2 linked regions of the Struthio camelus genome follow. The protein of the gene in region 1 purifies or fractionates together with the protein of each later gene. This does not show direct contact. Links are inferred from orthologs where the notes say so. Each region holds a gene or a part of one and is shown on either strand. Other genes may lie near its edges. The genes, in order: ZYX and ENAH.

Region 1 (7,354 bases):
AGGGAGGAGGCACTTACCAGACCTCATTCTCCTCACTGAAAGGAGGTGTCAGGGTGCAGTGATTCAGTTCCATGCTGGATGCATGTTGAGTGCTGGATGCCATAGAGTCAAATGCAGAGGCCCACACTGGAGACCACAGAGCCCCCAGTCCTTCTGACCCTCATCATGCTCATGTATCTGTAAAAATGGCATGCAGTTAAGAATGTTATTTGCAAAGATCATGAATTCTCCTAGAGAGGTCTCTGAACAACCGACTGGGTTCAGTCCCACTTCTGTCCCATTGGCTCCTGTCCCCAAGGGTCCATGCTGCCTCTGTCCATGTCTCAGCAGGATGGCGGGCCTGCATTTCCATGGCTCCTGGGAGTGCTCATTGGAGGCCTTCATCTCTCTCTCACAGTGTTCTCCCTCCTGCTCACTGCTGCAGGGCTCTGGGCCTGAGAGACTAAGAAAGCAAGGAGGCTGTTCCAGTGGATATCTCTTCCCCACAGCTGGAGTATGAGCTGTTCTGTGACTCCAGAAAACTGAGAATGGTCAGCCAAGGACTGGAGAAAGCAGTGGGACGCAGCTGAATTGGGACAAGGCTGGTATGTGTATGGCTGGGTATGGATGCCTATCAGAGGCAATTATGCTTGGAAAGCATTGATACACTTGTCATATCCACAACCTTATGCCCCATGCCTTGCCTCCAGTAAGACAAGTTGTGACATGTTTAGTTGTTATGCACAAATATTGTCTGCCAGAGCTGTCCGTCAAAGAAACAGACCTGGGAGCCTGCCAGGCATGCCCTTGTACCTGGGCATGGTACAAGACTCTTTCTAAGTGCCATGTTTTTGTGGCAGAAGTCTCCTGTCTGCTCATTGGTATGGAGTGTATTCTCCTAAGCACGGCACAAATATGCTATGCTCCTTCCTTCAAATAAGTGTAATCAAAGATATGTACTCACCAGAGCTGGGTGCACAGCTAGTTGCATGCTAGGGGATTTAGTATGTGTGTGTGTGGGAGGATGTCATCCTTGAAAAAGGGTTCCTCCCCCAGATCCAGTCAGCAAAAAGCAGGCTCTCAACTCCCCTGGGTCTCATTCTGAGCTTCCTCCTGCTCATACAAAGGGAGAAGTTCTGTGGTGGCCTCCCAGAGAAGCATCTGGTGCAACTCAGTATTGCAGGGAGAGAGGTGCTGAGCTACAGCCAAACAATAGGCAGTCTCAACAACGTTACCTTGGCATAGTATCTTGATCTCTCCAGTCTCCGTGTGGCCCCTTTCTACCAGAGTGTCATTATTTTCTTGCTGCAGAAGAAGCCCCACAGCTAAATAAGGAGGGGTGGCTTTGCAGACTGCTAATCTTCTCTTTTTGTAGCAGACTAACAAAGATGTGCAATGCATGTGCCAGGGCATGGCATGAAAGCATATTGGACTTGTGAGAACACTAGGAGTACATAAGAAGATTGTTCTGGGCAGGAAGAATGAAACTTGGTGTAGTCCTATAGAGGTGTGGACCTTGAAGTGAACTACCCTCTCTTTTGAGCCTCACCAAAATAAATAGTTGGTTTAGTCCAGACTGAAGTCCTGACACAAACTAAAATGTGCATAGTATAGATGATGAAAGGACCAAGGCCTTGGAGCAAAACAAGAAACAAACAATATAGGCACCCGGTCTGACAGTCTGCTTGCCGAAAATATTAAGAAAAACACTATCTACAAACTGCACAATAAAACACAGTTTCAGCACAACTTTAAGTGGTGCAGTTCCTCAAGGCCTTGCTTTGCAAAAGCAGGAACTATGGAGCTGTATGGAGTTTTCTGCAGTTGCCAGGCTTGGTACATGTGGCTACTAGTATGTTTGCAGATTAATTTACTGCCAATATGAGTAAGAGGATGATTACAGACGAGACACAAATCTTGGACTGTTTCCTGGGGCTGGGGGTGTAATTATCAGGGCCTTGCAAGGGAGTACCAGCTTTCAGTACCAGCTACAGGTCTGTGACAAGTGACAATGTATGGGAGAGAGCTGTCCTTCAAGCTATTATGATTTTCAGTAGGTTGAAAACATAACGATGTGAAAGGCCTTACAGAAGATGTTTGCTAAGTTAATTCTAGCAACGTGATCAAGCGCTGTATGAGAGCTACTGGCTGGGGAGAATAGGAGAGTAGTAGCTACAGGCCACCAATTCTCAGCACTTTGTAGATAGTCTGTGTAATATTGAGAGCTCAGTAGCCACAGCTGCCGTTTAAAATGCAGGAGAGGTCTTCAAAAAGTGGTTTATCTCATACTACAAAGTCTTTGACAGTTTGCCCATTTGGTTCTCCAAAGATGTGCTGAGGTGACAGAGGCATAGCCTAATTTCTGGATTGGTATTTTACCCCAATGAGAAGGGATTTCCTTCTATTAAACCTGAACCATCGCTGCTTGTCACCGCTATCAGTGGTAGATGGCCTGGACAAGGACTTGAGGCATAGCATTAAACAACTGAGCTATTGATGTGCATTTCTGGAGAGGCACTTCCTTCAACCAGGGCATTTTCCAATTGTCTTGATGAAGGTCAACAGGATGACCATATCTCCTAGGTAACCTGGCACACCTCCTGACCCTTTGCTTCCATGGCTCATGAAACAAGTTATTTGGTATCTTTACTTACCCTTATCCAAAACACTTCAGTTACCAGGTAAGCAGCTTTAGGTATGCATTTGGCTGGCTGAAATCTACATGGAGATCATCAGTTGTCAGGCTTCCTATGGAAATGTACTTCTTCCCTTGGATTCTTGAGTCCCAAGTGATGTCTGCAACAGCCCTGGCTGAAAGTTGGGAACAGCAGGCAGTGAAAAATGCCTGTGAAACTGTGCCAGTGGGATCTCATCAGGTTTCTGATGAAAACAGGGTGGGCCATGTTATGAGAGAAGCCCTATCAAACCATTTTCTGCAGAGTGACTGATGGTTCCAGAGACAGCATTACACTTACTGCTGCCAAAATAAATAAATGGGGTATTTACAAAGCTATTTGTAAATAACTGGGCCTCCCACCAACAGCTTTCTTCCCAACACTTTCACACCTGGTGTTCAACCTCATAAAAAGAGTTGCTGGGACCTACCAGCAATAATCCTTTTGCTTCCTGCTTGTCTGCCTTTATGGCCATGGTCTCTAAAACAGTGTCCTCCCAATCTTGCCCATCAAGCCTCTATCTTAAAAATATAAAACAAAAAATGAGATTTGATAGAAAAGAAAGTATATACTTGTATGGAAAACAGGCTTTTAAAGCAAAACAGTAAAGATTGTAGATTTGTGCGAGGGTATGGTAAATTTAAAACAGTGCAAGAGCCATCCATATATGATATCCACACAATGTATAGGTAGGCACTGGATGATGACAGCCTTCTCAGATGGAACATCCTGAAAGCAAAGAAGCCTCCTTGGTCAGCTCCAGTTGTCCACTTGCTTTGGGAAGGGGAACACTGAACAGCCTGCATTTCTCCATTGCAGTAAGAGATACAGTAAATTGTAAGGGATAAGAGATAATAAGAGATACCAATAACAAAGAACAAGAACTTCTTTGTTCAGACTTCATTTTAAGCTTTTGGGTATTTTAAAAAATGTTTTATTAAGATTTGTGTAACTCCAAAACCGTGTCGCAAACAATTATGTATAATCTGAGAGCTTCCAGTCCCCATCCCCTACATACCAAAGAGAGAGAGTGAGAAGATGACAACTGATATTTTGTAAGGCTAAAAATATTGTGCCTTTTACATAACACTGAGAATTTAAAAAGCACATTTGCTGCTTCAAGACTATTTTTAAAAATGCAGTTTGAGCAACACCACTAGTACAGATTCAACTGACATTTAGAAGTAGCTGATGTTTCACTGTTTGGGAATCAGATATTCAGTAGGGAATGAAGCATATGTAATAAAAAGCCAAATAGGATTCAGAGCCTACCAAAAATATTGGCACCCTAATATACAGCTCATGTTTATGCTGTTGGTGGTGTCTGTTTTCCAAGTGCATGCCACCTCCGCCTTTTGACTCTCCAACTCCTCAGACATTCCCTCTAAGTACTAACTACTAGATGGCGAGGAACCTGTGCCTTCTCAGTTTTCCTACCACAGATTCACCTAGTTCCCTCTCTTATGTTCCCGGACTTCCCTATCCCTTTTTCTCATTTCCTGGCATCTGCTGAGCCCTTCCCAGCAGGGTGGGGGTGGAAAACAGTCCTTTTTCTTTGAGCTCACTCATCTCCCCATTGAATGCATCACTTGCAAAGCTCCAGGCCATGGCAAGAGAAACCAGAATTTCACAGCATGGCCCTGCCTACCTCCAGTCTCAGTTCCATGCGAGTATGCACATAGCTGCTTTCAGAGACAAGGTATGTACATACAAGGAGGCAGAATAGATTTATGGAAGAGACCCGCCAGAACGATGTTGAGTGGGTGAAGTCTGCAGCAAATGAAGCAGGCTAGACTTACTAATTCTGTAATACCAAACTGTAGTTCCACAGAGCAATGGTTCCTCCTGCCCAACTGAAAGGCGATACATGATCACTTGCAGTAGGTCAGTGTGTTACACATGCATCACCGAAATGCTAACTGAACAGACTGCATCATCCTAGTTCCAGATGGTGAATTCTTTTGTGAATCTTCTGTGAAGTCTAGAAATGGGAACTGTATGAAAGATGAGATCTAATGTTGTATATATAGAGCAGAACCTCACACTTCTACATGACTCTAGATCAAAATCAGACATGGATGAAGATGTTGGGAGAGTAATACATTTATTAAAAAGCTACAACGCAGCAGTGTTGTTCTGACAGCAAAGAAAGCTATAAATCTTGTAGAAAAACTAATAGAAGGCAAATATCAAGGTAAGGTGAGAAAATTAACACCACCAATGTGAAATTAAGTTGAGAAGCTAAAAGTGGTGAACACTGAATATTGAACATTTATACAGATGTGTACCAACATGCCAAACCTGTGTTTTTCAAAGAAAGCTGATTGTTCTTTCAGGGAGCACTACCAAATTAGATCACACAACCAGGATCTTGCAGCAGAGCAGGTGTGGGAGTGCTGTCTGTTGTTACATTACAGCTAGCCCACTAATTGCCTGCTCTTCATGTGTTGGGATGCCATACCTTTCCACTGTGGACATTTTTTTAATTTTATAAATAAATACCTTTTTAAAAAAATTAAACCTGGGTTGAAATAAGTGTAATTTTAAGGTAACTGGCTAACACTGAAGTATTTCATCCCTCTGAGTAAGTTTGTCCTTAATTTGGGACATCCCAGCAGTGCTCAGTTGTCAATAGATAATTCCAAGATATCCAAAAGGTGTGTCTCTACTTTGGCAGAATAAGCCACTCCGAGAACTCCTCATGCAGAGGAAGAGGAAAGATAATCTTTTGGTGACCACCATTAGTTCCCTTCAGTAATATGCGGGAAAATGCTATTGAGCACCATGAGGATTTTCTGACAAATACTCTTCCTGAGAGGGTAGGTTGACTAGTTTTGTCTCAGCATCACACGAATGCACTCTCATACAGTTTTTTTATGAACTCTAGGTGCAGGCAGAACAAGATCACATCTGCTTGGATGCGAGTGTAGGTAAGCATGAGCTCACTCATACTCCCAGTGTGTAATGCAAACATATCCTATGCCTGTACCTCTACCTCTTGTCCCTTCTAATCTTCAGTTGATTTATACAGCCTGAAATATTTTCGCAACTTAAGAGGATCCAGTCTTCCACTTATGTCAGACAGGTTACAACCTTTTCAGGTTCTGAACTACACTGATGATGCTTTTTTGATTCTTTGAATCTCATAAAAAGCCTTTCTGTTTCTCTTCTGCACCAAAGGAGCTCTGAACAAGAAAGAATGGTATGAGTCATTTTGCTATCTCATTTCCTCTTCAGTCCACATGAAAATTCTATCAGTAGCTAATACAGCTTGATGCAGAATTAACTCTTGTGGCTTCTACTCCATTACTTCTATGAAGCAATTATAGAGAGCTCTGCCAGCAGAAACATTTACTGGGGAATCTATATTGCCAGTGGCAGAAGGCCAGCAGAGAAGCATACTGGAGCAACAGTCCCTGGAGGGTGATTCCTGCCTCTATAGATCTGATATAGATATTATTTTTGCAAATATCTTCTACACATGAAGCTAGTAGGCCTCTGTATATTTTCCATTGCTGAAGATGCATCTTGCAAGAAACATGGCCAAAGTTTCTCTATATCTTTCTCTGATAGTAGTTGGTCAGGCCACAGAGCTTTAAATAAGGATTTTAGAAAGGATCAGAGAAGGAAAAGAAAGTGAACAATCATTTTTCAGAGCCTTTTCATGGCTCATGGATACACATGGTTGCTAGTTAGGCCTTTGGGGATGGGAAATGGGAACTAATATTAGGATGAATGATAGACAGTAGGATGACATTTTAAATTGGCAATTTTTAGCTAAAAGTGGAACATTAGGTGGCAAGATATATGTTTGTAAATTTTTTTCTTTTTAAGTGGTTTGAAGGGCAGCTAATGGAAAAGGTAAAGCATATATCACTTACTGAGATACAATCTATGTCCCTAATAATTAACTGATGAAATGAATAAAATTACTAAGCAGGTAGGGATGGTGACAATAGCTTTGTATTTTATAAGTAGTGTTTCTCAGGAAGAAGCTGTTCCAGCGTTTATAAGATTTTTATATTATATTTATAATACATCTGGAAATATATATTTAGTAGATGTGATTCATCATTGTTTTCTAGAAAAGATAAATAATGCTGAGCAGGCAGCTCTTAAAAAGCAAACAAACAAACAGCTATCAATTTATAGCATAGGTCTGTGTTAAGGGTTATGTTGGAAGCACCTCAGTGTGGATTTGGAACAAATTGTTAAAAAACAGAGCTTGTTGAAACTGCTTTGCTCTCTGCTATTGCTGACCCCTCTCCTGGGCATGAGGCCACTATCTTTAGCTTTGCTGGAAGTATGTCTTCCTCCCCACCATCCCTGCTCTGACCTAGGATCACACTCTGCCTGTGTGCAGGAAGGGGAGGATGAGACCGCTGGAGGGGACAATCCCTATCAGTTCCCCACTCCACAACTCACCTCAGCATTCATCCCTCAAGCCAGGTAGTGCTCACTGAGGAGCACATGCTTATCTAGGTTACTATGACATCTCAGTCAGTGTCACTGTTGCATTCATGGTGTAAGGTGCAGGAAGCAGGGAGAAAAGGTCCAAAGGAGTTTTAAGTCGCTCTTCCACCAGTTGAATTCTTGACCTTGCTGGAATAAGTTAGAGCAGCCCTGAAGCTCTGCTCTGCAAACAAGAAGTTGCTAAGGGCAGCGATGTAAGGACTCGTGACAGCTAGAGCAGACGGGTT
Region 2 (7,975 bases), on another chromosome or scaffold:
GAATAGCCTACAGCACAATACAAATTCCTTTCATGATAATCCTAGGGGGGAAAAACAATCCCTTTTTATTCAAAGAATTTTTGCTTAAATATTTGAGTCTATTGGGAACAGACTGAAAGACACATACCGTTACTGCAGACTCAGGTCTACAGAGGTTTGTGGTTAGATTTTCTTATGCTATTTGACAATATGAGGGGCACTATGAGGAACCTTGGTGGAAAGACACTTAGTGGAAAGCTTCAGCTGTTGTTTTCATTCCCTCTTTGGAGGTGCTTGATGGAAGATCTATAAATTGTTTACTTGTATAACAAGGGGCAGGGTATGCTGGTAGAAAGACTGAGCTTCACATTCAGGCGTCAAAGGACTGTGTTTGATGGCAAAAGGAAACTTGTTTCCTTTTCTGGTGAGGTTATGTTTGCCTTTTTAAAACAAAACAAAGCAAAAATATTATGCCTTTAAGAAAAGACCTTGCTGACTATTCCTGTATTTTTCTGCGGAGTCATTCCAGTAATGATAAATGTTTATTTTAGCATTCTTAAAAGATTTTTACAGCTAGCAACCGCTCTGTCCTGAAGATGGTTGAGGAATTCTGCCTACTTTCCTAAGTAAAATAAAGCTAAAGAGTTCTTGGTTCAAAGCATTTCCTTTAATAGTGTGCTGTGCAACACTCCAGCAGGCGGCTGACTCATGGCAACCTGAAATTGAAAATGACTTGGGGGTGAGGGAAGCAAAGAAGAGGACAGGAAGCCAATATATTTTAACTATCTCTATATAAAGTCTGATCCTCCTCTTGTTCAACTAACCATGACCTCGTGGAATTGGTAGAGACATCAGCTCTGTGTCTGGTCCAGATCAAAATATATATTGGTGAATTAGATTCACATAATCGGTGGTGAAAATAATATATTAAATTACTTAATTCAGTTCTGTTTGGAGAGTCTTAGATGTTAATAGGAACATACTGACAGCCATTTCTTTTCAGCCTGCCCTTTATTTTTGGAAAGCCCTTCACTATCAACAGAAAGAAAGCATCAGCTTTCTCACTGAAACTGCTTTTTGTTGCAATTCTCTCACTCTATTATATTTTAAATTGTGTTTTCTTTCTATGTTACCATTCTACAGAAAAGAACCCAAACAAGTGAAAAAAAAAATCTTTCTACTTATTCAAAAACCAAACTCTAGACACATTAAGTAAAAGTAATAACCTTCAAAAAAAAAAAAACACCACCAAAAAACCCACTTCTCCCCACTCCAGAAACCTCTCTGACTGTGTTTCCTGCATTATGCTATTTACAGAGCATTAAAGAAGGAAAAAGTGATGTGGTATAACTGCTGCTGTCCGGGGACACTGATTATAGTAAGACGTGTGAAGATCTCAGCTACTTTTCCATCTTAAATACAAACAGACTCTCCAAAAAAACTGACGACTGCAAATGGAAGATTGTTTCAGAGAAAATGGGGAAACCTCACTGAGAGAGGATGGATTAGGCTGCCTTTTGAAGCTTTTGGATTCCCTCAGTGTCTCCAGAATATTAGTCATGCATCCTGCTCATGCCCCGCTCTTAAGGGTGATCCATGCTGATGATATGAGATGGACTCAGCTGGGTTTGCTCAGGAACAGAGTGCCAAGCCTCTTGCATCTGGCTGATACTAACCAGAAACACATTTTCTTCTGTTTTATGCCTGGGTGAGCCATTTCTCTAGTATTTAAAGAGCCTTCACTAGTCAGGTTATTTGGAGAGGAGGCACACCATACCACTCAACCTGAATTAGCTTAGCCTTTGGAAACATCTGAGCTCCAACCCTCAGTTGCAGCTGAGCGGCACAAAAGGCAAGAGAGAGGGATGGGAAGTCACTTTGGGGTATTCTGAGCTGCTTGGATCCTGAGCAAGGAGGACACTAATACTGTTCTTTGACACCAATTACAAGAGCCTTTAGACGGCTCTGCATCGTAAGCTGTCGGTGGCCCCAGGTTATTAGTGAGACACCATCAGCTACGAAGCCTTTCTGCCACATTCTGTTTGTCATTGCAAGAAAGGAGAGAGGTGGGAGGTGATATGAAGGGCAGTATCACCAATGCTATGCCACTCGAGGATCCCATCAGCTAGAAAGGTAACGGGAGAATTGCACAGAGTGATTCGGACACATCTAACGATTACAGCTTGAGAAAATGCAGGCCAGTTACAGGAGATTACAGATTTCTCAATGTATAATTCAGTATCGTAAGTATGTACATGGTACAAACTTCTGCTGCGAGACTACTTTAATTCCTTGACAATAACAGTGCTAAATTGACCTGGGGGAAAGAAAGACACACTTAACGTTTATAATTGATTTCTGCCCTATATCATTTTGGCTCCTCGCCTTCTCATGTAATGCTAATACGAGTTATTGCAGATTTAATATTTTGTTATAGATTAATTCAATGGTATTTTTGACTAAGCTAGTGTCCAGAATGACTTTGCACTTGGTGACATCTGTGATGCCAGCATGCAAAATGATTCTTCTGGCATTTTTACAGATTCTCTTGTACCCCACAGTATGTCTTGAGAAATCAAGCTATGACCATGCCTGATTTGGCTAAGAATATCAACTAATATAACACAAGTAATGATAATAGTTTTTTGCAGGAGTAACAGCTTCCGGCTATTTTCATTCCTTCTCAGGCAGACTTGTTGCCCAGGCATACTTTCAGTGGGTTTTACATACTTGTTACAGTCAAACTTCTTTTAGGCTTGACTGACAGGACGGAACGGTCTTATCAGAACAGTCACATTAGCATCCTGATTTTTGGCTAGTACAGAATAGCTGGGGTCTTAGAACAGAATCCTTGTTCAGCTGACTCTCTGTGCCATTCCTTCTACTGATGAGAGCAAGTCCAGTTAGATACAGATCTTAATGTTTATATTTGGCTGCCTTCAAGATATTTTTCACAGTCTGAATGACTTCCCTTTCAAACCTTTTATTTGGAGGATATTCTGGTGATAGTAAGCTCTAACTTACAAAATTTGTGATTCTTTAAGACCTGAAGTCCATTGTCAGTCATTAGAGTCCTGAGCATTCAGTAGAAGCATTTAAGATAAGCATATTTATTAGATGAAGTCTCCTATTTCAGACTGCATTGACGTTGCTGTCAAAGGTACCCACTTACCTGTTAAGATGCTGCTCTTCTAATTATTCATCTGCATTTTGTGATTCACCCCTATAGCAACATTTTCATTTACATCATCTCTATGCCAGTAAAAACATGTTAATTTTCTCACTAAATTGGTATTCGTTGGCTTGTGTTTCAGAGCCTATCCTCTTTTTTGAATTAGTATTTTCAACAACTGGACATTTTTTATTGACTAGCTCGTCTTTCACTGTCTTACTGAAACCGTTAGTTGACAGTGGTTGACCCTGTCTCAGATACCAGGCTGTTCAAAGAAGAGGTTGTATGCAGCGTTGAATAAACGAGATTCAGAGTAAATAACTGAGGTTGTGAAACCTAGATCAGAACTTTATGAAGAAGGTACGTACATATTTATCTCTAAAATCCTATTCAATTTTTGCATATAAAATCTAGAAACTTATAAAGGAGGTATATATACATTTATTTATAAAAACCTATATATTATTAATATCTAAAATCTAGAAAAAATGATAATTTAAAAGGAAAAATTAAAGCAGAGATGTAAAAGGACTGAGATACCATCATGTCAGTGAAGACTGCAGAGATACTTGCTCATCCTTTCCATTAACTGGAGACCAAAGAGAATGGGGGTATTCAGTGTTTGGCAGAAATTAGCTGAACATGAACTGGGTTAAAGTTATGTATAACATGTGTTTCACCCACTGGGAGTACTAAAAGCAAAACATAAATCTGTATTTAGTACGGACGTGGGGTTAGTGAAAGATGTAACAGCAAACGTGCATGAGGCTGAAATAACATTCCCGTATTTCTAAAAACACATCTAGGCCTCGTGCTTCCAAGAGCACAGAAAGGCAATTGGAAGAACTGCAGCACCAGCGAGTAATTTACCTGTAGAGTTCATTTAGTGGGCTGCATTGATTATGTATTTTCCTAGAAATGAAGAATCCAATTCTAGCACTTTGCTCATGTGTTGATTACTTGCAAAGTAAGAACGCGATCCAGAAAGCAGGGAGAGAAACGTTGCGGGGAAAGGACACGGTCTGGTGGCAGAAGCGTTCAAAATCAGTGCGAGCGAGTCTGCACCTTGGGAAAACACTTCAGATTTCGCTCCTGGCACCGCAGGGATGAGCAAACCAGTCATTTAATGCCGAGGCTGAGCTTGCCCTCAGCAAGCCCGAGCAGCCCCCGCCGGCTGCCCGTAACCCTGCCTCGCAGCCTGCACCCGCCTGCTCCCCGGGAACCGCACCGGGAGGGAGGCGCAGGCCTGCCGCCCCCGCCGCTCTCCCTTCGCGAGCCCGGAGGCGGCCCGGCGGCAGCGAGGCCTGCGACCGGCCGGCCCCGGCCCCGGCGACGAGCACAGCGTCCCGCCTCGCCTTCCCCCTCGCACCCGCGCCTGACGCCGGCCGGCCGGGCGGAAGGGCCACGGCGTCGGGGCTCCTGGGCACGGAAACCAGGCCCGGCCGCGCCCCGGTGGGGGGGGGAAGGCGGGGGCACCGCCGAGCCCCTTCCCCGGCGCGGCCTCCGCAGGGGAGGCGGTGCGGCGGGGGGCGTGGCCTCCGCGGCCCGCTCCTCCTCCTCTCCCCCACCCCCCGCCCTCGCGCGCCGCGCCGCGGCGCCCCCCCGCCCGGCCGGTGTCTCGAGCCTGCCTCGCGCTATCCCCGGTCCTGCCCATTCTCTGTCTCTCCTTCCCCCCCCCCCGCCCATTCCCGCGCGTTGGTTCGCTCTTCCCCGCCCCTTCTCCCCCACCTCTGCCTTCCCCTCCCCTCCCCTCGCCGCCGCCCCCCCCCGGCTCCCCGCGGTGGTCTGGCCCGGCCCGGCGGCGGAGGGAGCGAGGAGACGGGCAGGGAGGCGCTGGCGGCCGAGGGTCTCGGTGTCCGTTGACGCGCCGGCCGCTGCGAGGCGGAAAGCGGCGGAGGGGAGCGGAGCGGGCGGCCGAGCGAGCGAGCGAGGAAGCGGGAGCGGCTCCCCGACCCCGGGCAGCACCATGAGGTGAGGGGCCGGCCCCGGGGAAAGGCGAAGGGGGGGGGCGGTTAACGTCTCCATCCCCCCCCCCGCCCCTAACGGTCCCCGGGAGTTGGGGGGGGGGTTCGGCTCGCGGAAGGGGCTGAGCTGAGGGGGAGCCCCGCGGTGGGGGAGGGGCCCATTGTTAGCGGCGGGTGGGGGAGGGGCGGCCCGGCCGTCCCCGTCCCCCGCGGCGGCGGCGGCGAAGTTGATGGCCGAGGAAGGGGGGGGGGAGCGGGGCCCTGCGGCGGGGGGGCCGGCGCGGTGCTCCCGGCGCGTCCCCTGTGGTCACCCCTGCTGCGGCTGGGAGCACGTCGGAGGTGTGCCCCGCCACGGCGCGAGGGGGAAGCGCCTGGCTGCTCTCTCTCTCTTTCTTTCTTTCTTTCTTTCTTTCGTTCTTTCTCTCTCTCCTTTTTTTTTTTTTTCCTTTCCCCTCTTAACCGGCGGGTGTTGCATTGCAGCAGCAGCTGGGCTTTTCCCTGTGTAATCAATAAATAGAAGTCGAGCGCGGGGAGGGGGGGGGCGGAGGGAGGAATCCCCCTTTCGGCAGCCGTGAAAGTGTCGCGTTTGGAGGTTTTCAGATGTAAACACTGAGGTGGACGTTACTCATCCCCTTTTGAGGGGTCTGGGGGAAGGCACACGTAGGTTTCTGCCCTCGTTTGAACGAGAGACTGGAGCTTGATGCGGTCTCATTCATTTGTAGATAATTTTCTGCGCCCGTGGCTCGCCCCCCCCCCCCCAATTTCTTTTTAGTGCCTGTTTTGTTTCCATAATCTTTTTTTCTGGATTGGTGCAAGACTTCGTAAGAGACGTGGCTTGATAGCCTAAATGCTGATATATTTGGGGGCGGGGGGAACGTTATGCTCCGTAGGCCTGTCCTTTAGTTAGGAGGGGAAAGTGAGTTACCGTCCTTCCTCTCAGAGGTACCGTCTTACTTGCGGTTGGATTTGAGTCGTCTTTGTGTTAAGGATTATTGATCAAAAGTTGTAAGGCCCTTCGGGGTATAACGCAGTAAAACTTGTGTGATGAAAATCAACAAATTCTTTTGCTGCAAAAAAGTGTCAAGCCATTAGAACTCTGCATAAAGTCAAGTAAAATTCTAATCACATTTTTGAACTGTATTTTTAAGGGTTTGTGTGCGTGTGCACGCCTTAAATGCGAGCAGTAACTTTGCAGTGGGAAGCATGGGTATTTTCTCCCTGCTGTTTTGTTTAAAATTTAGTCTAATGTTTCTCTCTGTTTTTCTTAGACCGTAGGTATTTATGTACTGTATTATTTTAAGCTTTTGTTCTGTATTACGGCAACTTATTTTCACTTATTCATGTTGCTATGTACAAGTCAGATGCCCTGCGAGAGTAAGAAGTTTCGACTTAAAAAGCTTACAGTTCATGAATTCTTTAAATGATTTTTTTAAAATTTTATTTTGATGATCTTTAACACAATGAATGCTATTAATTTAGCACAAGTTGGTATAAATATTTTGAGAAACTCTTCTTGTATAATTTGGGCTTTTATTCTGGCAAAAAGTACCCTAATTGCGTGACTGAGGCTGAGTGAAGTAAGTTATACCAGCAAAAGTGTCCTTTTGCTAGTGTAACTTTTATGTGTTAGGACTTCTGCCAGCTCAGAGCGCAAGTATTTCTCTTAAGCAGTGTAACAGGAAAGTGTCTAGGTTGGACCTGCCCTTAGGTTGCCTGTTTAGATGTTTGAATAATGACTTTAAACATTCAGTAAATGTAGGCAAATGCTCTTATAATGTGTCTGAAATTTCTGCCTGCTTGTGCAGAATGTCAAGCTGCTAAGAGGGAAATGTAGTGTCAAGTTGAGTAGTTGCTTTGAGTGGTCATTGGGTAATTCAAGGAAATCTGACTTCAAGAACTCTGCTTCCAAGCCTTGTGAAAAAAGCAGCAAATGGTACTAATTAAACTAAACAAGTTAAGAAAATGATGTGGCTTAAGCAGTATTTTCCCTATCTAGGCGCTATTAAATTGACTCAGTTTTGTTTAATTGGCCCAGCTTCAGTGCGAGGGCAAGCTTTCACTGAACACGCTCTCTTCGGACTTGTTTAGACGAGGATTGGTATATCTGAAACATGTTTAAACCAGTCTCTTCACAGTATATTGTGCTTGAGTAATGTCTTTTAATGGGTATTTGCTGGTCGAGGCAAGTCATGATTGGGGGAAGGAGTGAGAAAGTGGATAGAATAAATGATCTGCCAGTGTTTAATATATGGCTTGTCTATTTGCAAGTGGTGTTAAAACTGTTTTCTAGTTAAGTATACAGTTGGCGCTCTGAGTACAAAAAAGGAATAAATACTGTAAGTCATTCTGAAATGAGCTGAAAAAAATAGCCTTCTGTTTCTGTGATGTCCTTTGAAACACACACGTTTGAGACTATTCTTCAGCCATCCTCAGCCTGAAATAATTCCGATGACCTCTTGCGAAGATCTCACCCCTTGTCTGGGACGGTTAGCTGGTCAGTTATCAAACAGCTAACTAGTTTTCCTTTTGTCAGCTAAAACTAAATACTATTGTAAAGAGCATCGAAATATTATAAAATAACCAACAATTCAGTAACACGCAAACATCAGCAGTACAAATTGACCACAGCAATTAACTTTTTTCAGTGGTCTGTTTTGAATTTGAGTGAATGTTATATGATGTTTGGATAGCATGTATTAGGCATTGTAGGTTGCAGATAAAACTGTGAATCTTAGACGTCCCAGTTTAAATGTCTAGCCCGTGTATGAAGTTACTTGTTTCGGGAGCCGAGATGAATAGGGCTTGTGTGCATCTCTCTTCCCCCCTGCTTAGGTAAACAGTTGATTCCCCTGAACACCTG

Evidence for each region.
Region 2: the proteins of ZYX (region 1) and ENAH purify together in Homo sapiens (co-immunoprecipitation; 4 studies listed by BioGRID and IntAct, counting the BioPlex papers as one, with this or other methods). This does not show direct contact. The link is inferred for Struthio camelus from reciprocal best matches to the Homo sapiens genes ZYX and ENAH.

What each region holds. Positions count from the first base shown.
Region 1 is NC_090942.1:90,287,351-90,294,704, reverse strand, and holds the start of ZYX (zyxin), read right to left. Parts: upstream 3,177-7,354; 5' UTR 3,085-3,176; intron 2,791-3,084; 5' UTR 2,634-2,790; intron 1,093-2,633; 5' UTR 944-1,092; intron 178-943; 5' UTR 18-177; intron 1-17. UniProt on the Homo sapiens protein: Adhesion plaque protein. Binds alpha-actinin and the CRP protein. Important for targeting TES and ENA/VASP family members to focal adhesions and for the formation of actin-rich structures.
Region 2 is NC_090944.1:125,989,734-125,997,708, forward strand, and holds the start of ENAH (protein enabled homolog), read left to right. Parts: upstream 1-4,862; 5' UTR 4,863-5,117; coding exon 5,118-5,122; intron 5,123-7,975. UniProt on the Homo sapiens protein: Ena/VASP proteins are actin-associated proteins involved in a range of processes dependent on cytoskeleton remodeling and cell polarity such as axon guidance and lamellipodial and filopodial dynamics in migrating cells.